Sus scrofa: one gene and its partners. The protein of the gene in region 3 interacts with the protein of the main gene of each other region in a pairwise test. Links are inferred from orthologs where the notes say so. Each region holds a gene or a part of one and is shown on either strand. Other genes may lie near its edges.

What was found.
Region 1: the proteins of TFG (region 3) and PEF1 interact in binary tests that used the Homo sapiens proteins (3 or more experiments, as listed by UniProt). The two-hybrid records come from large-scale screens. The link is inferred for Sus scrofa from reciprocal best matches to the Homo sapiens genes TFG and PEF1.
Region 2: the proteins of TFG (region 3) and MAPK1IP1L interact in binary tests that used the Homo sapiens proteins (3 or more experiments, as listed by UniProt). The two-hybrid records come from large-scale screens. The link is inferred for Sus scrofa from reciprocal best matches to the Homo sapiens genes TFG and MAPK1IP1L.

Annotation. Positions count from the first base shown.
Region 1 is NC_010448.4:88,164,687-88,175,696, forward strand, and holds the start of PEF1 (peflin), read right to left. Parts: upstream 5,642-11,010; 5' UTR 5,561-5,641; coding exon 5,537-5,560; intron 1-5,536. UniProt on the Homo sapiens protein: Calcium-binding protein that acts as an adapter that bridges unrelated proteins or stabilizes weak protein-protein complexes in response to calcium.
Region 2 is NC_010443.5:184,405,009-184,415,348, reverse strand, and holds part of MAPK1IP1L (MAPK-interacting and spindle-stabilizing protein-like), read right to left. Parts: intron 5,611-10,340; 5' UTR 5,607-5,610; coding exon 5,589-5,606; intron 4,945-5,588; coding exon 4,237-4,944; intron 3,223-4,236; coding exon of another isoform or gene 3,211-3,222; exon of another isoform or gene 1-3,210.
Region 3 is NC_010455.5:158,286,950-158,296,446, reverse strand, and holds the end of TFG (protein TFG), read left to right. Parts: intron 1-660; coding exon 661-759; intron 760-4,538; coding exon 4,539-4,921; 3' UTR 4,922-5,357; downstream 5,358-9,497. Other genes in the region: ABI3BP (target of Nesh-SH3), read right to left, coding at 6,794-6,909, 8,195-8,317. UniProt on the Homo sapiens protein: Plays a role in the normal dynamic function of the endoplasmic reticulum (ER) and its associated microtubules. Required for secretory cargo traffic from the endoplasmic reticulum to the Golgi apparatus.

The DNA of each region.
Region 1 (11,010 bases), on a different chromosome or scaffold from region 3:
GCACCAGAAGATGAAGAAAGTGAAAGCACCAGAAGCCAGGCGGGGAGCACAGTTCCCAGCATCACTGAGTTGTTAGCAAAGGTCTGGACCAGAATCCTGACTCCATGCTCTTGTATAGTGCTCCATGCCATGCTGCCCCCCCTTTAAGAGCTTTTCCAAAGGCATTTCAGGCTGATAAATACAAGACTGTTTAAAAAAAAAAAAAAAAAGAGTTCAGTAATCATGGGTTTCCAAAATATCACAGAAACCTAATCCTAGGTCTTTGCAAACATTTGATAAATTTGGGTAGGGGGAAGGGCAATTAACATTTTACTAAGGCCGTCTTTGATTCTCAGTCCTATGAGTGCTATGATTCCCATTTTATAGGTAAGAGAATTAAGATGCAGAGTTGAATCATGTGCCTGTGATGAACCAGACTCCAAACAGGGTCTGCATGACTCCACCACTCTACCCTCTTCTTCAAGTTCATTCAGTAAATGAAGGGGCGTCTACCATGTGACTTGCCAGGGACCATCCTAAATGGATGTGTCAAACCCGATGGACTTCTACAGTGGACAGGGTTGATGTGAGAAGGGCGGGATTAGATGATCTTTCACAGTTTTCAAGCCCAGAAATCAGGGAAACTCAGAAGAATCTTACTCTGTTTTCACCTTAGCACCCAGATCCAATTCGAGAGCCACAGTATTTAAGAGATCCCAAAGATCTCCCAGCCCAACCTCGCAGGGGATGATGGACTCTCTATAGCACCATCCGGAATCTCTGCTTTCCTCCAATGGTGGGGAGCTCACTCATTCCCAAATGATCTACTCAGAAAGTCCTACACTTCTATCTTTCCTTCTTTCTTTTTTTTTTTTTTTTTTTTTTTTTTGGTCTTTTTAGGGCCACACCTCGGCATATGGAAGTTCCCAGGCTAGGGGTCAAATTGGAGCTACAGCTGCTGGCCTACACCACAGCCACAGCAACACTGGATCCAAGCCATGTCTGCAACCTATACCACAGCTCACATCTACACCGGATCCTTAACCTACTGAGCGGGGCCAGGGATGGAACCTGCATCCTCATGGATACTAGTCGGGTTTGCTACCACTGAGCCACGACAGAACTCCAGAAGCTCCTACATTTTCTTTTGGCTCTGAGGGCTCAGTCGTCTACCCCCAAGATCCCTGGGAGGCTCAGAGGTGTCAAAGGTTGGTCCACGGCGAGTTCTGATGGGGAAGAGTAGTCTGTGTTGCAATGACAAGCCTGTTGGTTCAGAGCTACCCCCCAGCCCACTGGAGGAGGACAGAGCCCATGCTAAGGGGTTAAACAATCACAAGACGACAGAAGGAGTGGCTTGTGCCAGCAGACCCTCCTAAAATATTTAAAGGCCAGAACCCTGCAGTCAATAAACAGTGAGCCAAGAACTGTCCCAAGACTTCAATTACCACCTCTCCGCTGACACTCGCTGATACTTTCTCTCCAGCTCCATCTCTCCTGAGCCACAGGCCCTCATACCCAACAACCTTCCAGACCTTCCTTCCGAATCTCCTCCTCCTCCGTGTTCCCATCGCAGTGAAGGGAAACCCTGGTGCCTTTGTGGACACCTTTTCATTCTTCCCCTCTGTGACCTCAATTAGGTACCAAGTTTTCTCAATTCACCTCCCAGCTCCACGTTCACCACATCACTGCTCTGGCTCACCTAGACTTCTTCAATAGCTTTGAAACTAGTCTCCCTGCCTCGTCTATCCTGCTTCAACCCATCCTCACAGTGCCCCGTGGTCACAGCCCCAAAGCACGAAAGTGAGAACACTCTTCAAGCACTCCATCCTTTAGGGTGAAGTCCACACTCAAAAAGGCACACAGGCCCTTTAAGATCTGGTCCTTACCTACCTTTCTGGTTTCATTTCTTACCCTTCCCCCTCTTGCTTCACTACAACTAGACTCATCTCCTTAAATTCTTCCAAAACACACCTTTCTCACTTGCTTCCTGGTCTTTGTGAATACCACTCCTTCTGCTAGAATACTGGCCTTTCTTCACCCAGCTAACTCTTAATGGAGATTCTGTTTTTGGCTTAAATGTCACCTCCATCAAGAAGCCTTCCTCCCACCCAAGACTCAGTTAAGTACCCTCCTGTCCTGGCCTGACACTTAGTCCCATTTTATACATATGACACTGATTCTACAACTTACATATCTACATTACTCTTCCGCTTGGAATGTTAACTATATGTCCAAATGCCATACCAAGCCCTTAACATGGATTATCTCATTTGATCTTTACAGTAACCCTTGAGGTGGTACTCTTATGACCCATTTTTAAAAAGGGGAACCCAAGACTCAGACTTCTGTAAGAAATTTCTGCAAGAAAATGGCAGAGCAGGTATTTGAAGCCAAATCTCTCTGGCTGCAAAAAACCAGGCTCTCAAGCATTGAAATCTATCAGGCTGGCTCCCCCACAGGACCAAAGGGTCCTTGAGTTCTACTCCTCCAACCCCTAGTCTATGCTTGAGGACCCTGGGGCAGAAGGCAGCAGAAAATTACAGGAGTGCTGACTCCTAACAGTAGGCTGGAATCCTCTAGGACTAGGTACTGGGTGGAAGGGAAGTGATGCTGACTGAGCCTATGGATGCTTTCAAACAATCCACTTCCTTTCTTGGAACACAGTGGACCAGGAATTGGATAGGAGGACAAAGGTACAATGAGGGTGTGTGTGGGGGGGGGCATGTTTCTTCTTCTACTCAAGACACATTTCTCTCGGTACTCCTTTTCAATATTTCACTGAGCATGAGCCCAGGCGGCATGGCATGGTAATAGCAATCACAGTAGCAAAGCTAGGCCACCCCACACTGGCAAGCACTGTGTATCAGCAATGTGCCAGGCTCCTTACAAGCCTTATCATCTTCTTTTATTTCATCTTTTTAGCCCTATGAGGTATTATTCCTTCCTTTTTGCATGTGAGTTAACTGAGGCTCAGAGCCCTTAGATGATCTATTCAAGGGTGTTAACTAACAAATAGCAGAATTAGGATTCTAGCCCAGTTCTGTCTGTCTAATCTGGAAGTTCATGTTCTAAATTTCTATGCTGCTGCTTCTAGGATGCATACAAATTACCTCCAAAAGCTTATTAAAATGTAGACACTTGGCTCCTTCCTGGGTGCACAACAGGTCTGAGGTAGAACCCCCAAATGTGGTGTTTTTAAACAACCTCCTAGGCGATTTTGATGCAGGCCATGCACTGAGAAACAAAGCACCATGGCAATGTCCTCCCAAACAATGTTCCCTACATTGTCACCGAAAAATGACGAGACTTGGGGTTCCGTCCGGGCACAGCAGAAACGAATCTGACTAGGAACCATGAGGTTGTAGGTTCGATCCCTGGCCTCTTTCAGTGGGTTAAGGATCTGGTGTTGCCGTGAGCTGTGGTGAAGGTCACAGACACGGCTCAGATCTGGCATTGCTATGGCTGTGGCGTAGGCCAGCACCTATAGCTCCAATTAGACCCCTAGCATGAGACTTAAAAGGGCCGAGGAGTTCCCTAGTGACTAATGGTTAAGGATTCACTGCTATGGCTCAGGTTGGAGCCCTAGCCCCAGAACTTTTGTTAGTCTAGCCAAAACAAAAAAAAAAAACGGGGGTGGGTTCCACGGTTAAAAAATTTTAAGAAACACTGTATATTCTATCCCTCTCTGCCAGATTTACGTCTATTAACAAATTAAGAATTCTGAGATGCTCTGTGGTGAACAAACTTATTAAGCTGTTATACCTAATACCGAAGAATTTCCCAAACTTATTTTACCACAGAATACTCCTTTACCAGCAGTACTTCTTAACATCTCACAAGACTCAGCAAATGGAACTTGCTTGGGAAACACTGCTAGGTTATACTTCCTTCTGACCCCAGCCCATGCTGGCTTCTCTATTTCCCACCACTGCTGGGAATGCGATGAAAGGAGCTCTAAGTTCTAGCACTGGCCTCGCCCCCTGCCCCACTTGCTAATGTGTGACCTTAGGCAAGTCGCTTAACTTTTGGGGGCTCATTCCTCAGCTATAAATTGGGGGAATAATCCTTGCCAGACTGCTTTCAGGGCCTTCATGATTTGAGATCATGGATGTCCAAACACTGTGCGCAAAAACCGTACAGGGCTGCACTCTCTCAGACAGTTCTTGCCACATCTTTTGGTATGTGATTATACTCAGTCCAGCATTTAGTAATAAGCCATGTGACCTCATTTTCCAATTGTGCCTTCCTGGGTTTTATTTCCTAAAATAGCATGATCTTGGGTAACTCAGGAGCCCTCTCTGAGCTTCATTTCCCTCCTTTTAAAATGAAGGGACTCTTTGAGTTCTGTTGTGGCTCAGCAGTTAATGAACCTGACTAGCAACCATGAGGACGAAGGTTCGATCCCTGGCCTCTCTCAGTGGGTTAAGGACCCAGCTTTGTTGAGCTGTGGTGCAGGTCCCAGACGTGGACCAGATCCAACATGGATGGCTGTGGCTGTGGCGTAAGCCAGTGCCTGTAGCTCTGATTCGACCCCTAGCCTGGGACCTTCCATGTGCCACGGGTACAGCCCTAAACAGACCGAAAAATAAATAAATAAATAAAATGAAGAGACTCTTTTGAGGGTCCTCCCAACACTGACCTTCTAGGAATCTAATAAAAATCAAAATACTAAAAGGTAACACCTGTTACACTCTTAGTAGTACCAAATGCTTTACAAGCATCATTTCATTATTCTTCATACCAGCTCTATGAAGTAGACATTATTTGGCCCTGTTTTACAGAGGAGGAAACTTAAGCTCAAAAAGGCAAAGTACTTTGCTCAAAGACTCAAAACTATTTAAGGGATGGAGCCAAGGTGTGAATCTTCCTCTGACTCCAAACTGCACTTCATCACTCTACCACTCCTGTCATCCACCAACGGATTCTGGCCACAGAATCACCCTGCTGTAGTGTTCTTGGCAGGATCAAATGGGCTGGCAAGTAGGTAAGAGGCATTTGCTGACAGCCCTGGGTTCTGCTACCTAACTCCCTGGTGACTAAATTCCATGTCCTCTCTGGGTTTCACTTTTCCTGTGTGTCAAATGTGGAGGTACTGGACTAACTCAGTAGTCAAACAAGCTCATTCATACTAAAACCTACTAAACCACAGTTTCTCCTGATTATTCAGAGAATAACCAGTACGTCAGGGGTGTATTTTAATCTGACGCCCCAAAGGATACCGACAGAACCAGTGCTCTGAACGTTCCGGTGACGTTGATGACCCCGCCCGGAGCCCCAGAGGGAGCGCAGGCCAAGCGCAGCCTGACTCCGTGGGGTCTAGGAGCCCCAAATCTTCGCGTGCACGACGTCACAGGGGGCGCGACACGACCTCCCCAACGTGCAGTCCTGCGTGACGTGAGCCAGGTGCGACTGACCATCCCGTTTCCCTTCTCTCCTGCGCGACACCGCCCCCTGCGTGGGAAAAGCGCGGAGGATGCAGGGAGAAAGCGAAGCTGGGGGTCCTGGCCAGGACTTGGCGAGACTTCTACCTATATTGGCCCACCTCTTACACACTCACCTGCCCGTATGGATAGCTGGCCATGGCGACTCTGACGTCACACGTCGGCGGGGGGCGGGGCTTCCCAGTCTCAAATCCGCCTCCTCCTGGGCCTGGGGGTGTGCCCTATTCTGATTGGATGTACCTGACTATCAATCCTGGGCGCAAAGGTCGACGGAAGTGACGCTAGAGGGAGGTGGTCAGGTGCCTCCCAAGGAGATGGAGGAGCTGAGGCTCCTATGTCAGTTTCCGGAATCATGTTTCCTGTACTGGCGCAGTAGTTCTTAAATTTTCTGCCCTAGAGTAGGCCCCAGAACTGGTCAGTCCCACGTATTTAAAGAGAAATTTAGGTGGAGTGTTACAGTGGTGGCCATGTTTTAACCTGGCAGATGGGACGCATGGTAGTGGCGTAGTTGCTGTCGTCACTCCAAGTTTTCCCCGGAGAAAGGCCCGGGCGGTTGCCGTGGCAACAGGGAACAGACCCAAGCTTCCAGGGAAGGCTAGAGGCTACGGGCGATAAGTACTTCGTTCTAATGTCAAGACACCACGTGCCAGTTAGTAGCTTTGGAGTGGGATCTATGGTATTTGGTGAGGCTATTCCAAAGCGGCAGAGTGGGAGGGAAATTAGATCTAGGGCCTCTTCTTTGATAAGTGGGGAAGCTGAGGTCCGAAGAAGCAATGACTTGTCCTAGTCACTGTGGGTTAGAGGCAGAGGGTAGCCTAGAACTGGGGTCAATGGATGCCACATTGCTCATCAGGGAAGTCTTGACTCGTCTCGAAGGTAGATAAAATTCTAGTTACTAAGTGACCTCATAGTCATGTACTTGCCTCTTGGTGGTTCAGGCATTCCACCTTTTTGCATGCTTATTTGACTAATTTGTTAGTTCTTCCATGTAGACACAGATTGTGTCTGGTTTTGCTTGTCATAATATCCACAGGGCCTCTATATTTTTTTATTTTTTATTTTTATTTTTTTGTCTTTTTGCTATTTCTTGGGCCGCTCACGCGGCATATGGAGGTTCCCAGGCTAGGGGTCCAATCGGAGCTGTAGCCACCGGCCTACGCAAGAGCCACAGCAATGTGGGATCCGAGCCTCGTCTGCGACCTACACCACAGCTCACGGCAACGCCGGATCCTTAACCCACTGAGCAAGGCCAGGGACCGAACCCGCAACCTCATGGTTCCCAGTTGGATTCGTTAACCACTGCGCCACGACGGGAACTCCTTTTTTTAAAATAAATTCATTAATAGTGTTACAAGGTGTTGTCCATTCCAGCCCATCTATCTAACTATCTAGCCAGGCACTTTCCAGAATTACAGTGCTGATCATGCTACTAGCCCACTGAAAAGTCTGCAGTGGCTCCTCTACCTGCCCAGCCCCTTCATTATGGCACCACAGGCCTTTCACAGTCTGGCCCAACCTGACCTTTGCAGTCTTATCCAATAGCCACTGACTGCTGTGCTGTACTGCTATGTTCAGTTCTACCACCCAGCCCACTTTCTCTGAAATGGGGATCTTGATTTTACCACTTTCTAACTTCATGACCTTGGGCAAGTTAATTAACTTCTGAGTCTTAGTTTCCTCAGCTGTCAGAAACCAATATGTAAAGAGATCTGAAAAATGAGCTTATGGTACCTGCTTATGCCCAGACTTACTTTCACAGGACGAGCAGCCCTCCCATCTCCAGTCCTTCAAAGCTCAGTTCCAATCCCATCCTCCACCTAATCCTCCCACATTCCCCTAGCTCCAGAATTAGTCACTCTGTTGCCTGCCTCCCTTTGCAGTTGGTACTGTGACTGTGCTATATTCTAGCCTATCTTGTATAAGAGTTCTCTTTGATATTTCCCCCAACATTCCTCTCCTTTATCTCAGAAAATTCACCCATCTCTCAGGCCAGAAACTAGGATCATTCTTGTGGGGCTTCTATTTCTATGCAAGCTCTCCCATCTCTGTGTGCTCTAGTTCAAAAACTTCAGCAAGCTTGTCCTATCACCCTAGTCCAAGACATCATCATCTGTGGCCTGGATCATGACCATAGCATCCTGATTGATGTTCCTGCTTTCACTCTTTCCTGCACATTCTACTCTGTAGGGCAGCCAGAGTGATTGTCTTCAGTGTAAATCATATTATGTCATTCCTGGGCTTAAACTCCTCCAGAGACTTCCAGTAACTCTTATAAGAAAATCTAGGAGTTCCCTGGTAGCCTAGCAGTTAAGAGCTCAATGTTGTCACTGCTGTGGCTGTGGTTACCACTGTGGCTTGGGTTCCATCCCTGGCCAGGGAACTTTTGTATACTCCAGGCACAGCCAAAAAAAAAAAAAAAAAAAAAAAGTAAATAAATAAATAAAAGTTACACACTTTAAGTATTAAAAAAAGAAAATTAAATTCACCCTCATGACCTTCACGTCTCTCTGTAACCAAGACCATGTCTGCATCTCCAGCCTTACTTGCTGCCACTGTAGTTCTCAGGTGACTCCAGCTGTGCTGGTCTGGTCTCTACCCTTGGAACACACCAAACTCATTCTCACCTCTAGGTTTTGGATTAGCTCTTTTTAATAATTTTTTTTTTATGTTTTGCTTTTTAGGGCCACACCTGTGGCATATGGAAGTTCCCAGGCTAGGGGTCCAATCAGCGCTGTAGCAGCCGACCTATCCCACAGCCATAGCAACCTGGGATCTAACTGCATCTGTGACCTACACAACAACTCACAGCAACGCCAGATCCTTAACCCACTGAGCGGGGCCAGAGATCAAACCCACATCTTCATGGACACTAGTCAGGTTCATTTCTGCTGAGCCACAACGGGAACTGCAGTTAGCTCTTTATTATCTGGCATGCTCTTCGTTTGGCACTTCACTGGCTACATCCTCCTTGCCATCCAGGCCTCTGTTCAGATATCACCTCCTGGAGGGGAACATTAAAGTAGCATTGCCTCTCCACACGTTCTAGTCATTTATGGTTATCATTATGTCTCATTTTTTCATAGCACTTGCCATTGCTTGAATTGTCCCTTTAAAGTGTCCATGTATTGTAGGATTGTCCTTTTCTTATTCACTCCTCTATCCCCAGTGCCTAGAACAGTGCCTGGCATGAGTTCAATAAGTATTAGTAGTTAGTTGTTAGTAGTAATAGTAGTAGTAGTGATAGTAGTAGTATCCTGTATTGAATGCTTACTAGGTGCCAAACGTTGTGCTAAGTACAATGTGTTGTTTCATTTTCACCACAATCTTTTGAGATGGATACTCTTACCCATTTATAATGAGGAGCTGAGGCTGAGAGAGGCTAAGTGTCTTCCCCGCTATCAAAAGGAAATGAAGGGAGTTCCCATTGTGGCTCAGTGGAAACAAATCCGACTAGTGTCCTTGAGGATGCAGGTTGGATCCCTGGCCTCACTCCGTGGGTTAAGGATCTGGTGATGCTGTGAGCTGTGGCGTAGGTCACAGATTCAACTCGGATCCCACGTTGCTGTGGCTGTGGTGTAGGCCAGTGACTCCGATTCCACCCCTAGCCTGGAAACTTCCATATGCCATGAGCCCCAAAAAGACCAAAAAAAGGCGGGGGTGGGGGGAGGATGGAGAAGGCAGGATTTGAAGCCAGGTCCACATCTGTTAACTAATCAGTGCCTAGTAGTTAGCTGGTCTTACCTTTTTTGCCTTTGTAAACCCACCCCACCCCACCCCACCACACACAATCCAAAGCAATGGTGGAAATGAATTACAAAATCTCAGAAAGAAAGAAGTCCTATAGTCTGGGCTGAAAGTCAAGGGGTATTTTCTGGGAGAGAGAACAGTGACACCTGGCCGGCAAACTGGGATAATGTGAGGCTTGCTCATTTTATTCCACAAATGTATTAACCTACAGAGTTCCCACCACTTGCCTGGCTCTGTTCTAGGTGTCGGGGATTAAGCCATGAGGTTCACGCCCCAGCCCCCTCTGCTCAGCAAAGGGCTCTTACAAGAACGTTCTCTTGGATGTCTGTGTTGTTTGGGGGCAAGGTATCCAAGTCATCTCTCAGGCAGTCAGAGACCAGCCAAAGCCAAGTCCAGGGCTGTGCCTCGGAGGACCTGCAGCAGGCCCAGGTGTGTTTATTTTGGAGAGGGCTGGGCAAAATGAAGAGCAGATCTTCCAAAGACTGAAAAACAATCAACTCATTTCCAAAACCTTAGCTACCTGAGGCAGACAGAGGTGGGTGGAGAAGTTCCTGTTTTTGTTTAAACTTTGGCCAAAGGGGAAAACGTGGATTCCAGCTCTTTTTAGAGCACAGAGCACTTTCCGGAGCTCATGGAAGCCCCATGCTCGGCCCATTAGAGGTAAAGCAGAGCTTGGTAATGGAAGGCCCATCCACTGGAAAAGATTGCCACCCCTGGAGACACATCATTCTCCCCAGGCATCCTGGCTCAGCACCAGCTCCAGTGTTGCTTACAGAGAAGGAAGACCAATAGCCACTCAATTATTAAGGAATTAAGTCTCTTTGATTCTGACTAGATCCAGTTCCAAAATTTAAATTCCAGTTGGATGCTTTGGATCAGAGGGCGATTTGCAGCTTTCCACAGAACCAACGGAAAAATGAGAACAACAGACATGGCAATTTGGCCACACTCCCCTGCATTATGGGATTGTATGGCAGGTACATTGATAAGTTCAATTCCCGTAAACTATTCAGGACAATGACAAAAAGATCGAGGCTCATCGGGGGTTAACAGACCACATGTGAAGCAAGAGTCTAAATAGAGTCTGTTGAATTCTGGTGACAGGGGAAAATATTATGACAGAAGAGAAGATTTAAATTCCAGAAGGCATCAAATTTGGAGATTTTTCTCTGCAGAATAAAGATGCAGCATCCTTTTTTCCGTCTTACAGAGCAGAGGGTTTTTCAAATTAAGAATTCCTCATCAGGAAGTTCCTGTTGTGGCTCAGTGGTTAATGAACCCAACTAGTATCCATGAGGACACGGGTTCGATCCCTGGCCTCGCAGAGTGGGTTAAGGATCTGGCATTCCCATGAGCTGTGGTGTAGGTCGCAGACGCAGCGCAGATCCCATGTGGCTCTGGCTGTTGTGTAGGCCAGGCGGCTGCAGCTCCAATTTGACCACTAGCCTGGGAATCTCCATATGCTGCAGGTATGGCCCTAAAAAGACAAAAGACAGGGGGGGAAAAAAAAAAAAGGAATTCCCCATCAGGCCAACCTGGCTCGACATAGCCTCACATGAAAGCCTTGCTTCCCCGATCTCACCCTGAGCACAGCCCACATTCCAGCCACATGCACTGTCCCCCGTCACTCAGCGTGCTGACTTCAGTCATGGCTGGACCTTGGCTCATACTGTTCCCTCTGCCTACATCGATCTCTGTCCAGACAAGGTTAGGTCTCAGCTCTCTGCCTCCCTGGCTCCTGGTGCTGCCCCATCATTCCACTTTATTTTAACTGCTTGTTGAACCCTCTGCCCTCCCCCAGACATTGGGTGGGGAGGCATATATGTCTAGTTTGCCTGTGAAT
Region 2 (10,340 bases), on a different chromosome or scaffold from region 3:
AATCATTTAGAAGTGTAGGCAACTGACTGATATGCAAACTTGGCATGGTATTTAAATTGAAACTCTGAGTAGAGCTATGCTGATGTACACGAATAATTTCAAAAACTGTACATCTGAGTACAATAGGTAGCTCAAATTATTTGTGAGGTAAAAGTATGAGGGGCAAAACCAACTTCTTTCCTAGAAAGTGAGGACCAAGGCCAAAAACTCACCTCTTTCTTCTCTGCCCTTTTATTATTCTCTACTGAAAACAATAACTGTAAATGGCAAAGAAGGAAAGCCTTTGGGGAATTAAAAAATGTATTGTCTATGCCCAAATAATCAATATCATACTTTACAGAAAACAGGCCTGTGGAGTCAGAGCTGTTAACAGCCATCTTCAAAAGCGCAAAAGTGTCGGGCGGAGTCCAGTAGACAGGCCAGGCATTGTAAGTACTCCTTTCAGGAGTCCTGATTCCTGAGGACTGAGTGTGTGAATGAGGACCTAACGGTCTCTATTTGAATTTTCTGGTGTCATTTTTAGGTTCAATGTTTCAAACTCTAAGTAAAGTCCTAATTCCAGAAACACTATTCCTCAACATATCTCAACTATCTCCATCACATTTATCTTAAAATTCTTGCTCTGAAAGTCCAAATGCCAGCATATTCCATACTTCGAATTCCCTTAAGACCAAACATACTTTCTAACAAGCAGTCTCTTCTACAAACCAATCTCAGCCTAGCACAACTTGTTTTAAAAGCAATGTTATTCCCTTGTAAAGACAAAAACCTTCTTAGATGCTTTCCTCCATTCCACCCTTAAAACTCCGCCCTGAACCTAAAAATACTTTTTGCCCCAGAGTACCCACAAGAATTGAGTTGCCCCTTCTCCAAGTTGAGAAATGATGCTTAAAAGAATTAAAAATAATGTAAAAGCAAACTTATTCCCTCTGATTTCCACTCTTACATTAAAAAAAAAAAAAAAAAAGAAAAACAAAAACCAACCAAACCCAAATATTACTTAGAAGATACTTGAAACGCAAAATTTAAAATGGCAGTGTCCTCTAGGGCACACTGGCAGTATGGGTCGCCAGCAAAGTTAATATACTTATAAGGGATAGTAATTCCAAATCTTGTAGTCATGGCCCTTCAAGTCCTTGAGCAGAAGGTTTTCTCCAATCATAAATGGACTCCACAATTACAGATTCCCAAACTCATTACCTCTTTTTCTTTTAGTCAGACATTATCCTCTCTAGTGTTACATTAATTATTTTATTTAAAGCCAGAGTTGTCCACTTATCACAATGTGGGGCAACCAAAATAACCAAAAGGAGAGATATCTTTGCTGCCATCTCACTGTTCCTATCACCCCTCCAGAGTTAGCTGACATTATGATAGACATTATGAAACAGATGGATAATTTAAGCTCTGACACCTTCTTAGGCTACTGCCTTATAAACTGAAGGATACTTTGACAACAGATTCCAAGAGTGTTGTAGATAGCTGCCACTTGTCCCAGCAGAGAAGTGCAAGAATAAAAGACTGCCACTACGAAAGAGCTGGCTAACATTCCCCAGTCTGAAAATATCTAAACAAATTAGTTTCAATTCTGAAAGCTTGAATTTGTCATCCACTTAAAAGGGAGGCCTAAACTGAATACTTCTCTCAAAGGTGGCAATCTTGCTTTCTTAAAAAGGAGGTAGCTATCAAACCATTAACTTGGCAGCATTTGGCATTCTTGACATTTTTAACTATAAGGGAAATAAACTACTAAATTATTTTATTTCTAAGCAAAAATAAGAGCTCCAGCATAAATCTCTCATATACTGCTCAAGAAATTCACATTTTAGTAACCCAATGGATACATTCAAAATTTCAAAATGTTATTTGACAAATAACATGGTCAGTTATATCCCAAATCTAAAAATGTGATTTTAAGGTAAGGTGCCAAAAAGCTACTTTGAAGGTTACAAACAACACTTATTTTTAAGTAACAGTCACAATGCTTTAAACTCAATTGCAGAGATCTACACTTTATTATTATTGTTAGAGCTAGAGAATAATTTTTAAGGATGGCACTTATTCTTCTACCTATTTACCTGTCAAAAAATACAGAACTGAACTGTTAGCCATAAGCACTTTACAAACAGATCCAGGAAACTATGCAATTGACAACGACATAGCTTAACCAGACTCTGAGAGACATACATATTTCAATTGCTCGTCTGTATGACGAAGGTTCTCTAAACATTAACATCTGTGTGTTTGTGACAGACCCCTAGAGTGTGCCAGTTTTCCGTATCAGGGATGAATCAAAGGCTGTGCTCCTTCTAAAGAACTGAGGAAGAGGGGGCTACAGGGAAGGTCCTGTAGAAGAGTGTCCTGTGGGAATGCAAATTATTTGTTACCATAAAGCAACTCTCAGGGTCTCCTCTACGTGTGGATTCAGATGAAGGAGAATTAGTTTCTTCCTTGAGCTCTTCCCAAAGTAATATGGACATCTCAAAATAATCTGTTCTAAGCAATACAAAGAGATCACCAATGCTCTCAGAATATAATTGACATACATGCTGGCCTGCATTAAGGAAAAAAGTTAGCTTCCATCAAGGGCAGATTTTAGAGTTGTTACAACCCATCTGGCTAAAAATAAAACAAATCAGGTGGAAGTCAAAATGAAGGAAAAGTTCTTACTAAAAGCTCAAGGATAAAAATGAACTCAACATCTGACAATAATTACCAATAGTATTAAAATCTATATCCAAAATATAACCTCAAGAGGACCAGGTTATTTATCCTATAGATAGAGCAGCTCAAGATGTTGAGAGGCATCATTTGTTTAAATTATGACAATGTGATTGTTTTCAAAGTGTGTTTATTTACGGGAAAAAGTGATTATATAAGTGTTCAGTTTCATAATTTAAACAAATCGAAAACTTCTTTTAAACAACTGTATCAAAGAGCTATTCAATATACTTATTAACTTTAACTTTCCATAAAAACCGAATAAAAATCACATTTGAATGATTTACTTTTACATTTTTATCTGATTATATCCATCAGATGTACTAAACATCCAAGCACAAGAGGCAGATATCTTCTGAGAGGTGCAAGAGGTGTTCTTTCATGAATGCCCTCTAAGAATAGTGAAACAGCAATTTTTATATATGCATTCATGTGCATATATATATGTACTTCAAAAAGCAAAGCGTCATCTCTTCGTCCATTGTTAACTTAATGGTAAGACTGCAACAGAAAAAAGAAAAAGTAAACTTCTAGATTTCGTAAATGGAGTTTACTAACTCCTTGCTGTGGCTTAAAATAAAATTTATTTATTGCTTAATAAATCCAAACGGCAAATCATCACTTATTCTGGCATACAATTTAGAAAAAAAATTTTTAAAGACTATATAATAGCAACTTAAACTAATGAAAAGAAGTTGAGGGCCCTTTAAGATTTTTTTCCATTACAATTCAAGTGGATGACTGATTAATATGGTTGGAGATATGATTCATTCTTTGTTAAGAATAAATAGATTTTTTTTCCCCCTAAGAATCTGGCTTGGCTCAGTTCACGGGGAAACAGGGTGCTTTTCTATTTGGTCATATGTTTGAGACAGGGTCCTCCACTAAGGTATCAACCCTATTCTAGCCTGGCTGACAGTAAAGCATATGGCATTATATATAACTGGCAAAGCAGAAGAGTGGTATAACCTGGAGCTCAACGCTGCTAAGGATCTAACAAAACCTTGACCGAGAAACACTACAGGCAGTTGTATCAAAGAAGGGCGACATCACACATTCACTGCCTTGGATTCTCTTTAAAAAAAAAAAACAAACTACCTCTATATCCAGCCAGAATGGCAGAGATTACTTTTATTGAACTTTGTGCTTTGCTATGATACTAGAAAACATTACTGAGAAATGTTATAATTTTAAAAAGTCCAATGAAATACATCTGAGTTTACCCGATGAATGCTATTTGAGGACATTGCTCACTACAGTACAGTCTTTGGGGAAGTTTCTTATTTTTAGTATCAGGAATGTGTAACTTGTGCTTTCATCCTTTTAAATGTTTTACCCAAAGTTCATCTGAAGCTTGAAATTTACTCTTACTTTATATACAGTTTTTTGGTTTTGTTTTTGTTTTTTTTAAAAAGGTTAAAAAGCTTTCTAATCTTCCATCCCAAACTGGAGACAATCTGTCATTTGTGCTTATGGGACTATTAGTACATGTTAAATAACAAATTAAACACTCACATGGGGGCCCCCAGGCATCGGTGGAGCACCAGAAGGTCCTGAAGGCACTTGAAAAGGATTACTGGGAGCAGGATAGAGTCCTGGTGAGGGATATGATCCTGCAGGGGCAGGATATGGCCCTGGTGGTCCCCAGGCTCCTGGGGGAACAGTGCCCCATGGAACAGGAGGTGCTGCCCCTGGTGCTTGGGGAGGAGGAGGAGCAGGATATGGCCCTGGAGCTGGATATGGCATATTAGGGGTAGGATACTGCCCTCCCATTCCTGGTGCCCAAGGTCCAGAAGACATGGATCCCCATGGACCTAAAGGACCAGCTGCAGCTGGATCTGTGGGTGCACCATATGGTCTTGGAAGCTCTGGAAAGGGCATATTTGGTGTAGGATAAGGCCCTGTGGGGCCAGGGCCTGGCACAGCTGGGGCTGGATAAGGACCACCAGGTGGGGGGCATGATGGTCCAGAAGGAGGAAAGGGTGCTGGGGGTCCTGGAGGTGGTCCAGTGGGAGGCACAGAGGGATACATTCCTGTTGGTGCTGGTCCAAAAGGCACAGTGGAGGGTGTTGCACTTGGTGGGAGTCCAGATGGCACAGAAGGTGGAGCACTTGGGTTATTCCAAGGGCTGGAACCTGGCCAGCCTTGAGGAGGTTGGCCAGGTTTTGTATTGCTCACAGCAGAGGTTTTGGCAGGGGAGTGATCAGGTAGTGCATCTGCCAACTGGAATACAAAACAAGCATGTCTTACTCATCTCATTCAGGGACAAGTAATGCCAAACATGAATATAAACCCATAAAGGTTTAGGGATTCTTCAAAAGCCAATTTAAAAACAACTTATTTAATACAAAATTTGAGGAGTTACCTTGAATTTCAGTTTTACAGTGCAAATTCCACAGAGAAACTCAAGTTTGCTAAATACAGCTGATCAGCATAGTGTGAGCTGAATCCTGGTTTTAGTTCAAATAAGTTATATACCCTTTCTGAGCTTTGGGTTTCCTCATTTTCAAAACAGTATCTTAGGGCTAACTTGATGCTTAACAAGATAACTCATGTAATGCACTTAATACAGTGCCTGGTATATAATTTTCAACAGATGTTGGCTATTATTAACATCAGGATAAGAGGACAGACTTAACACTTTAAGGAGTTATAAAGAAATAAACAGACAGAATGCATTTTCAAACACATTAAAGCTAAGTAAATTAAGGCAAATCATCTATCAAAATCACATGCCAAAAAAAAAAAAAAAAAAAAAATCCAAGGATCACAAAAGCTATTTCTCTTAAACTTATGGCCCACAATCAGGACCACGCCTTTTTTTCCTAAGAGCCAAAAACCTATGAAGAATAAATACATCAACTTACCGAAAATTCATCAGACATTTTCCTAAAACAAAACAAAAACAAAAACAAAAAAAAAGAAGGAATATTTCAAAACCAGTGTTTACCATTTCTTGTATATTCTTTAAGTAACTTTCTATCATTTTAACTTAAATGGAATCTTAATCACTTATAATTTCTATAATAGTTCATTCATACAGCTCTATGAACTTCATCCCTTTTTAATGGTTGCACATCACATAAAAGTGATCCATAATTCAGTTTACACTCAATTTGGTGGCAGTTTAGATTGTTCACATTTTGAATTGTTTTAAATAACAACACAATGAACATCTCTCAACACATCTTTCTGAGTCTATCATCAGGGAAATGTACTAGAGGTGAAATATATAATCGACAGGTAAGGTCATCTAAAATCCATCTCAAAAAGCCCATGCCAGTTTACACTATCCTTTTTATTCTTTTTGTTTGTTTGTTTTTAGGGCCACACCCTCGAAATCTGGAAGTTTCCAGGCTAGGGGTCGAATCATAGCTGTTGCCACCAGCCCACACCACAGCCAAGCCAAATCCAAGCCTCGTCTTTGACCTACACCACAACTCACGGCAATGCCGGATCCTTAACCTGCTGAGCAGAGACTAGGGACTGAGCCCTCATCCCTGTGGATCCTAGTTGGGTTCGTTAACCGCTGAACCACAAAGGGAACTCCTACACTATCTTTTTAAAATTCCCCTTCATCACCGGATGTTATTAAATTTGTAAGTCATTTTCAATTATGATAGGTTAAAAAAACTGGCATCTTGTTGTTTTAACTTACATAATTAGGTGGAAAGCAGAGCATCATTTATATTTAATACCTCATTTAGACTTCTTTTTCTGTGAATATGCTCATGGCTTTGGATTATGTTTTTCAATCTTTAAAACTCAAGTACAGGAGTTCCTGTCGTGGCAGTGGTTAACGAATCTGACTAGGAACCATGAGGTTGCGGGTTCGGTCCCTGCCCTTGCTCAGTGGGTTAAGGATCCAGTGTTGCCGTGAGCTGTGGTGTAGGTCACAGATGTGGCTCAGATCTGGTGTTGCTGTGGCTCTGGCGTAGGTTGGTGGCTACAGCTCCGATTCGACCCCTAGTCTGGGAACCTCCATATGCCGCGGGAGCGGCCCAAAGAAATAGCAAAAAGACAATAAATAAATAAATAAATAAAACTCAAGTACAGGAATTCCCATCATGGCTCAGTGGTTAACGACTCTGCCTAGGAACCATGAGGTTGCAGGTTTGACCCCTGTCCTTGCTCAGTGGGTTAAGGATCCAGAGTTGCTGTGGTGTAGGTCGCAGACGTGGCTCGGATCCTGCATTGCTGTGGCTCTGGTGTAGGCCGGCGGTTACAGCTCCGATTCGACCCTAGCCCGGGAACCTCCATATGCCACAGGAACGGCCCTAGAAAAGGCAAAAAGACAAAAACAAACAAACAAAAAAACCTCAAGTACAATTAACTCCCAATAAAATGCATGGATTAGTGTTCAGGTCAGTAAGCTCTGACAGTTGTAAATTCCCCTATAACCATCTGAGATATGGAACATTCCCCTCAGTCCACAAGGTTTGCACAGGCTACTTTCAAATCAATTCCCTCTTCCAACTCAACAGTCACTTTCTTAGTTTTTGCTTGTTCCTTGATTTCATAATAAATTAGACAGCAACATACTTTTTTTTTTACTTTGATCATTTTACTACTTAGTAGTACATCTTTTTTAGTGCTTTCTAACACATTAAGGAAATTAGCTGTCTGTCATTTATGAGAGAAAAAAAGTTCACCTATGCTTTCTAATAGTATTTATATGGTTTATCTTATTTAAAATCTTTCTTTCCAATAATAATTACTGAATAATCTATCTTTTCTCAATTGACATAACAAGCTACCTTTAACACATTCTACACCTGCTACTGACAACAAATACTGAATATATATCATGGAACAGGTACCGTTAAGTGTGTTAGGTATATAATCTCATTTAGCAGCTGCAGATTCTATCATCATACCCAGCTGACAGCTGTAGAAAAGGAAGCTTAGCAAGTTAACTTGTTTAAGGTCACAGAGCTAGGGACAAGCAGAGAAGCGACTTAAACGCAAGTATAATCCAGAGCCAAGGCTCTTAGCCACCAGACTGTAGAGCCCCCATCATTTCCCATAGGTATTGTGAGCTTTATTCTTTTCTAATTCACACTATAACATGTCATCTTATTAGGGCAGCTTTATATTTTTAACAGATTTTTATGACCTAGTATTGCTGTCTTTCCAGATTTTCCTGAAAATTCTCATGCTTATTTTTTCCAGATTATTTTGTTTAAAAAAAGAATCTGTTAGCGTTCTAGTTGAAACTGCATTAAATTTACAGATTAATTTAGGGGACATTTGATACATTTAAAATATAAAATATTCTCATTCAAGAATAAGGTATGTCTTCCTAGTCCCAACATTATCATTTATTACTCAGTGGTTTTTAAAATCAAGTCTCCTACAAATTTTTTTGAGTCAAATTTCTAAATGGTATACTTTCTCTTTTTTTCTTTTTTCTTTTTAGGACAGTACCCACCCTTTGGAAGTTCCAGGCTAGGGGCTGAACAGGAGCTGCAGGCCTCGCCACAGCCAGGCAACACCAGATTGCCTTGTCTGTGACCTACACCACAACTCATGGCAACGCCAGATCCTTAACCCACTGACAGAGGTCAGGGATGGAACCCTGAGTACTAGTTGGGTTCGTAAGCTGCTGAGCCACAACAGGAACTCCTCTTTTGATCTCTATGGATCTTTAAAAGATGTATAGGAGTTTCCATTGTGGCTCAGCAGTAATGAATCTGACTAGTATCCATGAGGGCTTGGGTTCAATCCCTGGCCCTGCTCAGTGGGTTAAGGACCCAGTGCCATGAGCTGCAGCACAGGCTGAAGATTTGGCTTGGGTCCCGTGTTGCTGTGGGTGTAGTGTAGGCCGGCAGCTATAGTTCCTATTTGACCCTAGTCTGGTAACTTCCATATGTCATTGATGCAGCCCTAAAAAGAAAGAAAGAAGGAAGGAAAGGAAGAGGAAGGAAGGAAGGAAGAAAGAAAGATGTATAGACCTCTGATGTTTCTTTTGGTATACTTTTTCCTATGGTTACAAGTTGGCTCCTCCATTATATTTTCTTATTGGTTGTTCATATATGGGAAAAGGCTTTTAAATTTTAGTGTGTTACTTCTGTAAGGAGTGACATTATTGAATTATTTTATTTGAGTCAGTTGATTCTCTCAAATCTGCAGGTAAAGAATTATGCCATTAGCAAAAAATAATTTTACCTGCTCTTTCTAATATTTACACTTCATTCCTCTTTTGCATAAACTAGGACTTAACAATGAAATGCTAGGAGTTCTGTCATGGCTCAATAGAAGTGAATCTGACTAGTAACCATGAGGATTCGGGTTCGATCCCTGGCCTTACTCAGTGGGTTGAGGATCTGGCATTGCCGTGAGCTGTGGTATAGGTTTCAGACACAGCTAGGATCCTGCGTTGTTGTGGCTGTGGTGTAGGCAGGCAGCTGCTGCGCTCTGATTCGACCCCTAGCCTGGGGACTTCGATGTGCCATGGGTGAGGCCCTAAAAAGACAAAAGACAAAAAATGATGAAATGTTAAATAGTGATAATGTAAGCACAGCAGTCTTCTTCTCAACTCTCTTGGCAATGCTTCTAATGTTTAAGTATAATTCTCATTTGTAGATTTAAGATTTTAAAAAAATTACAGTAAGCAAGTTTCTTATGCCTATGTTGCTAGATTTATTTATTCCTATTTTGCTGGTTAAAAAAAAGGGACACTAAATTTCTTTAGAAGATTTTCTTACCATCTAATGAGTTAATCTCAGTTTTTCTCCTTTGACCTATCAATACACAATAGATTATATATATGTGTGTACACACACACACATTTATACCCACAAGCACATATATATATAGCTTAATAGTGAGCCATTCTTACATTCACAAAGTTTTATTAAATATGATTTGGTTATCATGGAGAATGATAGAGAAAATAAACTCAAAGTCCACCGTAACAACTGCTATAACCTTGCCCTTAATTCATATGTTAAAAAACACATCACGAATTATAGCAAATACAATTATTCACTCATTCCTATTAAGTTTTGTTTTATGCTAAAATGTCCCATCACACAATAGTAAATTTTTAGGACTAACTTCCGAAGAAAGTTTATCAGTGCACAATTTTAAAGTCTACATAAGACTAATAACATTGTTTTCAAACAGGGAGAACCCCTCTGAAACAGAAAATTGTTCTGTATCAAAGTTCATATTACTTCTGAAAGAGAAAACAACAAAGCAACACATTCAATTTCACATGGTCTTTGAGTTCAGGTTTTCAGAATTACTCTTTCTTTCTTAGTTTTTGAAAAACTATAGTTAATTAATCATAGCATTACATTAAAATATTATTCCATTAATGAAATAATGTTAAACTGAGTCTTGCTTCCAAAAATTTACATTCAAAATCAAATCCTGGAAGATGGAGGAAATAATAGGCCTGACTAAAGGGATTAGAAACAGGCTACTTCCTGTTCTAAGGCATTGCACAGTAAAGCGACCTGCTCTCCATGCCTAGAATAAAGTGTTCATATTAATTGAAAACATCCCAATTTACTCTTTGGGGAATACTTTATCATAAAAAGGTTTAAAAAATAGTGTTGGTGATCCAATACGAGAAGAACTGAAGAATGTAAAAAAACAAAAAACAAAAACCT
Region 3 (9,497 bases):
AAGTGTGCATAGGAACTGTGACCCTGAAATAGGACTCCTATTTCCAAGAACTCATCCCCAGCTGTTTTTAAAAAGTGCATTTAGACTTTGTCATGTTCCACATGATTGGCTAGCACACTCATATGATGGAAACACAAACTGTTCTTAAATGCCAGACCTATTTTTGAGTTCTGGTACAAGAGATTCGCATCTTTGCTATACCACAGAGTCCGTTCATATGGTAACAAAAGTTTAAACCTTTAGATGACAAAGATAGTATTTTGGGAAAGATTAGGAGCTATTAGTGGTTTTTATCCCTTTTCTCAGGTTTTTATTTTTTGATTTTTGACTCACTTGATCTTTACTGAATAGTAGTAGTACATATCTATTGGCTGTTGGGTTTGAAAACATTTGTTTTTCTGGAATTTCTGAAGTAATTGCTACTGCTATTTGCTGCCTTATTAGAGTTCTCTGCAGTTAATCCACAACAGAGTAGCCACACTTACTAAATTGTTCATTCTTCTCTTCTTCGTAGACATTGAAAGGGGAACAGACATGTTGTTGTGTCTTGGTACTCAGTGTGTTCATGTGTTTGAATAGGGAGAGAATTAAATGTGCCTTAAAAATATTTCTCTTCTGCTGAATTAAACATACCTCTTTTCCTCGTCCTGTCTGTTTCAGGTCAGATGTACCAGCAGTACCCGCAGCAGGCTGGCTATGGCACTCAGCAGCCACAGGCGCCGCCCCAGCCGCCACAGCAGTACGGTATTCAGTATTCAGGTGAGCGGGCAGCCGGAGGGAGCAGTTTTTGTACTCATTAAACTTTAACTCTTTCCTCCTGATCCCTTGACCTGTCTGTTATAGTAGGTATTAAGTATTTATTTATTGGGGAAAATAACATTTGTTTTATTTATTTGTAAATATTTTGCGTAAAAATTTTACTGTAAGTCACCATTTCAGTTTGTCAGTGGATAGGTAAAACTTAGAATCATAGGATTCTTTAATAACTTGTATAAAATTTTTTAATACATAGCTCGCTCCTACTGATTTGATCAACTTATTGCTAGGTGACTTAAAGCTGTAAAAATGCAGTATTTTTCCTCCCTTTTATGTAATACTTTAATTATGCCAGTGTACTCTTAATACTTATAAAAAATATTCACAGTTCCCTCATACATGGAAAGAGGTGATCTTATTAAATAAGAACCAAATTAAGCTACATGGGTTTTTAAATCCCCCCAAAGTATGTAGGAATACCAGAAACAGACCATAAAAGTAGAAATGTGTAAGACATAATTCGGGCAACTAAGAACATAATAATCTCTTTGGTATAGCTTTGAACATTGTGGTTAAGATTCAGGCAGTTTTTACATTTGTTAAATCTGAGAATTTGTGTTTAACTCTGAGTTTACAGTCAAAGATTTAAGTATCAAAATTTCAACTGTAATTTTAAAAATTAGATTAACTCTGCAATACAAAAATGAGCAAAGAAAAGGCAGTAAATAATGGGAGAAAAGTCAACCTCATGAGCAATCCCTATTTCAGGTATGGAAAGATTAAGCAACTTATATGGGGGTCAGTAATCATAACTAGTAAGTACAACCACTGGAGCCCAGGTATAAATCTAGAGTGTTGGTTTAAAAGGAGTTTGTACACATTCTCATTAAATATAAATACCAACTCAAGTATCATCAAAAAATCTGAAATTAGGAGTTCCCGTCGTGGCGCAGTGGTTAACGAATCCGACTAGGAACCATGAGGTTGCGGGTTCGGTCCCTGGCCTTGCTCAGTGGGTTAATGATCCGGCGTTGCCGTGAGCTGTGGTGTAGGTCGCAGACGCGGCTCGGATCCCGCGTTGCTGTGGCTCTGGCGTAGGCCGGTGGCTACAGCTCCGATTCAACCCCTAGCCTGGGAACCTCCATATGCCGCGGGAGCGGCCCAAGAAATAGCAACAACAACAACAACAAAAAGACAAAAAAAAAAAAAAAAATCTGAAATTAAAGCTCCATGTAGTAGACAGCTGCCATCAGTGAGTCTAAGGAACTCTGACTTGAAAATGCCTGATTATTTTCCTCAATAAAAAATGACAGGGTACAACTATTAAAGCAAGCATGTGTTCTATTTTTTTTTTCTTAATATGCTTCAAACCCATTATGAAAATGCATAAATTTTGGGGTTAAAAGTTTCAGAGACCACATAGCCCCCAAGAATATTTACTACCTAGTCTTTTAACAGAAAAATGTTTGCCAACCCTCTGAACTAGATCATAAAGTTCTACCATCAGAGTTGGACATATTTTAATACAAACAGCAATTTATTCAGATTAATTTGTTGTAGAGTGATTTAACATGTAGGTAATAGTTTTTATTATATAAACTATGTGGAAATTTTAACTTGGACTATAATACTGGGGAGAGTTTATGCTTAGGATATAGACCTTTAAAGAAAAATCAGTGTTACAAATTACACAATTTGTAGAAATAATAGATATCTGAGTGGAAAAGAGCTAGGTATCTAATCCAGATAATTTCAACCTTTGCTGTGCTTTAGAATCACCTGGAGAGGTGTGTTTTAAAAGTTATAGGTGCCTGGGCTCTACTCCCAGAGATCTTGTTTCATTTGTCAGGGGTGGGACTTGGGCTTTGATACTTTAAAAACTTTATAGGTCATTCTAAAGTGCAGCCAGGGTTGGGGAGCCACTGATCTTGGCCCATCCACTCATTTTATGAATTTGGGAACCAAGGTTCAAAGAGTTGTGATGTATTGATGCCATTCATTGGGGAAACTAGACCAGAATTCAGTACACTCAACTTTGCAGTTGATTACTTAGCTATCTCATTCTGTGTTCTCCACCCTTGACCAGGGATTAACAGACTTTTCTGCCATAAAAAGCTATATAGTAAGTACTTGAGGCTTTGTGGACCATATGATTCCTTGTCCTGTAATACTCATTTATTTAAAAAACCACAGAATTTCCATTTCTTACCATTTCTTGTCATTTTTACCAAAGTTACTGATTCATTTTGTTTTTCAAAGGAGAGGATGGCAGTGGGAGGGAGAGTGTATACATAATAGAGGTATTGCCACATTTTGATCAAACACTAGTAGGTTGCTAATGAAACAACATCATATGCCCATAGAGTTTATCCCTTCTCTTGAGAAATAATTAAGGATATTGTTGTCCCAAGATTCTATTAAAAAGCTGGTTTAGATTTCAGTTACGATCTTAAGTTGAATAGGCATTTTCAGTATAAAAGCTGAGTCCTTCTGTTTCTCCAAAAATTTAGACAGTAAAACACTTTACATTTATGTAGAGGATAGAAGAAATTGTATGACATTCAAAGTTTTGGTTTCGTATTTAGACATTACCGTGAGTAAAATGCATTAGATATTTAATTTACTTGTTAAAATTTAAGCTTGCTCTTAATGATTTTAGTCAGGGTCTTCACTGAGTAAAGTTTAGTTCTTTTCAAATTATTATCTTTGTATTTCTGATCCTGCTAGTCCTTTTAACTTGAATTTGGGAGATATGGAACTAGTCAACTAAATACTCTGCTTGGTGGTGGTAACATTGGACCATCTTTGACACTCTGCTGGTTTGGCAGTTTCCCTCTGTGACCTTTTCCAGTTTTATTCATGGACTATGTCAAAAAGCTTTCTTTCATGAGTAAATTTTGAACCCAGGTTCAAGGTGAGTTCAGAATATACTCAAATTCATTCAATCCTTTTTATTTTTTTTAATGCAGGGTTGTACATATTTTAATAATTTTCTTATGTATCTGGTATTTAATGCTGACAGGATTCCAGTCAATGGAGAGGTTTCATTGCAAGTAGCTGCAGGTGTGTTTCATGGTAGAGATAAAAGTTTTTAGTGAAGCAGACCTTTTCTTTTACAAAATTTTACATCCTAGTAACTAATGAATATAGATGTTGCTTTTTGTGGGGCAATATGATATGCTTTCATGTGTTACCTTGTTACTGCTAAGCCAGAAGTTTGAATTATAAAGGCAAAAAAGATTTTAAGAATTGTGAAAATGGGCACTTAATGTTTATTCTTAAATGGCTTAGTTTTTATAGTGTGAATAAACCTTAAAGCATCTCATTAGCACAGTAAGATGTTTGTAGCACTATTGTTTCATTTAATATTCTCTACAATGTTTTTTTTATTTGGTACTGTTTTAAGGCTTCCCCTCAAAACCAGGTTAATAACTAGCTTTTGAATTAATTTCTACACTTATCATTTGAGCATCTACTGTATATACTGGGAGTTATGCTAGAATAGGCACTTGCTCTCAGGGATTATATAGTTTAGAAGAAGTTGCAGTAGAAGAATATATGTAGTAGTTTTAGTTTTAGAGGATTTAAGAAATTATCTGGAAAACACTTCTTTGATACTATGTGGTCTTGAAATATGGAATCTACTACTCTACTTGTTACAAAAGTACTCAGGATTAAGTTTGTTAAATTTCTCATCATTTTTGGTCCATAACCGTAAGACTAATTCTCTGAAAAATGTTTACCAAAAGAAAAAATAAGATCTGCATGTTTTGCCTTTTCAGCAGGCTATAGTCAGCAGACCGGACCCCAACAACCTCAGCAGTTCCAGGGATATGGCCAGCAACCAACTTCCCAGGCACCGGCTCCTGCCTTTTCTGGCCAGCCTCAGCAGATGCCTGCTCAACCACCACAGCAGTACCAGGCGAGCAGTTACCCTCCACAGACTTACACTACCCAGACTTCCCAGCCTACTAATTACACTGTGGCCCCTGCCTCACAACCTGGAATGGCTCCAAGCCAACCCGGGGCCTATCAGCCCAGACCAGGTTTTACTCCACCTCCTGGAAGTACCATGACCCCTCTTCCAAGTGGGTCTAACCCTTATGCACGTAGCCGTCCTCCCTTTGGTCAGGGCTATACCCAACCTGGACCAGGTTACCGATAAAGAGGCTCAGTTACACTGATGATTGTAGCTGCTAGCTCTTTGCCTCCCAAAAGACTCCAATACTACTATTTTAATTTGTATTGAAGTTCAGAAATTTAAAAAGCAGAGCATTTTTTATTGTTGCTGTTAATTGAGAGTATAATTTGCTGGGAAAAAAAAAAAGACCAAAATGAAAGTTCTTTTCCTCCCTTGCTTAAAATAAGTGTAGCAGCTTCCTAGTTACTTTGGAACACTACTCTTAAATGTGTGCAAAGTGATTGACTTTCTAGCTTGCCTTGTCCAGAGGATATTAAAATGCTAGGTTGAAGTTCAGTCATCTTACTTGGCTTTTTACTATTAACATGATGTACTAAAGTAGATTCCTTTGAAAAGACAACTAGATATTATGTATAAAATGTAACACTGATAGGTTAATAAAGATGATTGAATCCATTAATGGTCTTGTAATTTAATTTAGTCATTGACACTATATAGACATGAGAAAAAAAGCAATAGAAATTGATGTTTTGGTCTTGAAATGTAGACATTTTATCTTATGCCTTTCTATTCAGAAATGCACAGTCCTGTTGAATTTTGTCCTTTGGCTTAAACCAATGAAACTTGAAAGTGGATTTCACGGAAAGATAGATTAGCATTATACATAAACACAATAGATACTGTATTAAAAAATACAAAGAGAGGATCCTAACTTAGAATTTTCCTTACAGAGGTGAACCATTCAGCGATAACTCAGTCTTAAAAAAAAACTACATCTCTTTATTGCAGAGTTAATACTTGTTTGAAAAACATAAAATGTAGTATTGATAAAATTGAAGCATGTTGAAAGGATGCAAAGAAAGTTCCTTTAAGAATGAGGGCAACAATGCAACATTCCCATCTCTCTCCCCAAATGAAGTGGAACACTACTTTTGTAAATTAAAATGAGATTTTCATTACGAGTTGAGTTAGATAGAATTATGAAAACAGCCTTGGTAACATTCATTCCTAGAGATTTTCTGTGTTAAAAATATAGTAAATACCCTATAAAATAATAGGGATTTCATCATGCATTATCCTTTTGTGCTTTAGACTTTACAGTTTCTGCATAAAGCTTGATTTGAATTAAAAACAGCAGGAACACAGCTGCTTAAAGGGATAGTTTTACAAAGAAAATTCAGACTAACATATTTCGGGGTAGAGAAAGAACAAAATAGGTGTCTTGAAATGCTATATCAAATTCTCAATTCCATTTTTAGCTAATATGAATTTACTGATTTAAACAAAATTTTAATCACATAACTTGCAGATATTTAAGGAAATATTATTAGCATGAGTGGCTATATTTAAACGCTTCAGAAGAGATACTCAGCTGTTGCTGAAAAGTTGAAGTTTAAATAAACAAGTAAATATTAGGACTTTTTTCCTCCCAGATTTATATGCTGAAGATAATTTGACCTAATAAGTTAAACTAAGTAGAGATTTATGGAATTAACTCACCAGTAGGAAGAATACACAATAAAAGTAAATATTTTAACAAGTATATTAGTTTTTTGATGTTAATTTTGTTATAAAAGTATCTCAAAACATCATTACAACAATGTGATAAATAATATACAATGATCTCTTAAAATACCATGAAAAGGGAGCCAGCTTCCCCAAAAAATGTTATTCTGTTAATGTCAATATCTTGCTTTTTTAAAATGACTTTGTAAAACCTGATAAATATTCTTAGCAATCTTTCTAATAAACATCTAATACTGCTATTAATTAGATTTTAAACTTTTATACATAGTAAACATAAGAGCTTTAAATGCATGTGACAAATATCATACTGTTTCCAATTATTTTTTGCCATGTTGAAACAGAAGGCACTTTTGAACATGATTGTAGCATCTACCATTTTCCAGGAATTGTGGTCCCACATTCATACCACTGGACGTAATTAATTTGGGTGTGACCGCCAATTTCTCCGAATTGGACAGGTTCCTGGCGAACTGCTCTGAAATAGCCTAAGAGGGAAAATAATTAATTTTAATAGCTGCTATGTTTTATTTTTGTCCTCACTGCTCATAGATTGAAGGGTGTCACCGAATGCCTAAAGTTTATGCTAGGTAGAACAGAGTATTTTAGAAAGTGAATAGCAACAGAGGTACTGCTGTCTTTGCTGAAGTAGTAAGGGCTGGCAATATATCAGGATAGGATGCTGGGCAGTGTTTGAGAGAGAAAGCTGACAAGAGGCAGGACTTGGGAGAGTTTTTGTTTTGTCATTGACCAAGTTCAGTACACACAGTACGTGAAAGTATACTTTGTGTACACAGACTAGTGGTGGGCTCTGAAGAAGTGACCTGGTAAAGATGTGTTATACTAACATGTTAGGAAACAAAAGAAAGGTAGTTCTAAGACTGTTAAATTTCTAAGAATTAAACTTTGGTGAAATCTTTCTTCCTACACTAAATGATTAAAAGCTTTTGCTGTGACTGTAAAATGGAAATAGGTGTAATTTACAGTATATTTTATATCCATTTCCTCTGAGGCAACAGTTTCTACTTCCTCTTAATGAGTACACAGATCTCACTGAGTCATCTTTTACTATGCCTGGTATTTTTAGTACTAGGGAACAAAATGTGTTGCTCAAAAGACTTATCAAATAATTTTAAGTATTTAAATAAACTCTCTTGGTAATTCCTGAGTAATATGGATATTTAACTTATCCTCTCCTACCCTGCCTGGGCAGGGGGGCTAAGTCAGTTTTCAGTCCTTTCAATCCTCATTAAGCAGCTTGGTGCTAATGTGCCTTTAGCGAGTTGCAGTGGTTAGTCATTTCTCAGCAGAACTGTTTTAATTGTGTTTGTTTATAAGGCAAATAATATTTTTTTTCCTTCTATCAAAGTAGTAAAGCTGTCTTTAAAAAACTTTTTTAAAGGAATAAAGAAAACTGTCACACTGTGTGCTCAGTGTGACAAAAACTATAAAGGTAATACATGAATGATTTAAGTTTGGGAAATGCTGCACTTTTATAGCTGACATTGCAAATTTAGGTTTTCCTGAAGTAGAATGCATTTATGTAAATCTGTTTAATTTCCATTGGCTCTAAGGAACAGCAGCTTAAGGAATGGGAGGAAACTTGAGAAACTTCTATTAAAGTCTTTATATTAAGGTCTTTTGTGAAGTCTTTCTAGGCAGATAAAGTTGTGTACTACAGAATTATTTTAAAGTGATTACTTCCTCAGCTTGAATGCTTTTTGGGTTAATTTATGAGAGCCTCCTGGTTATGAGGAGGCTCAGAAAACATACCTTCTTTGGTGGGTAACTGGTCAGAAGAGAGTTGCTGTCCTGTGCGTCCATCTAAAAATGAGTCCACAAACTGGCAGTGATCTTCTCCATGGCCTCTCTGATCTCCTATGTTATAAAATTTTCCTGAAAAAAAAGAAATTAAAAGGTCCATGAAGTGTTACTTTCTTTGATAGAGGCAACTCTGAAATAAATTTTTTTCAGATTTTTATTTTATTACTCAATGAATTTATTACATTTGTAGTTGTACAATGATCATCACAGTCCAATTTCATACGATTTCCATCCCACAACTCAAGCACATCCTCCCACCCCCCAAACTGTCTCCTTTGGAGACCATAAGTTTTTCAAAGTCTGTGAGTCAGCATCTGTTCTGCAAAGAAGTTCAGTCTGTCCTTTTTTCAGATGCCACATGTCAGTGAAAGCATTTGATGTTGGTGTCTCATTGTATGGCTGACTTCACTTAGCATGATAATCTCTAGGTCCATCCATGTTGCTAAAAATGCTGGTATTTCGTTCCTTTTGATGGCTGAGCAATATTCCATTGTGTATATAATATGTACCACCTCTTCTTGATCCACTCCTCTGTCAATGGACATTGAGGTTGTTTCCATGTCTTGGCTATTGAAAATAGTGCTGCACTGAACATTGGAGTACATGTGTCTTCTTGAGTTTTTTGGTTTTCTCTGGGTAGATGCCCAGGAGTGGGACTGCTGGATCAAATGGTAGTTCTATTTTTAGTTTTCTAAGGAATCTCCATACTGCTTTCCACAGTGGTTGCACCAATTTACATTCCCACCAACAGTGTACTAGGGTTCCTTTTTCTCCACACCTTCTCCAGCACTTGTTGTTTGTAGACTTTTTGATGCTGGCCATTCTGGCTGGTGTAAGGTGGTGCCTCATATTGGTGTTCATTTTGCATTTCTCTAATAATGAGTGATGTTGAACATCTTTTCATGTGTTTTTTTGCCATCTGTATGTCTTTTTTGGAGAACTGTCTGTTTAGATCTGCCCATTTTTGGATGGGGTTGTTTTTTTGGTATTGATCTGTAGGAGGTGTTTATAAATTTTGGAGATGAATCCCTTGTCAGTTGATTCATTTGCAAAGATTTTCTCCCATTCTGTGGGTTGTCTTTTCGTTTTGTTTAGGGTTTCCTTTGCTGTGCAGAAACTTAAGTTTGATTAGGTCCCATTTGTTTATTTTTGTTTTTACTGTCATTACTCTAAGAGGTGGATCTGAGAATATGTTGCTGTGGTTTAGGTCAGAGAGTGTTTGGCCTACGTTTTCCTCTAAGAGTTTTATAGT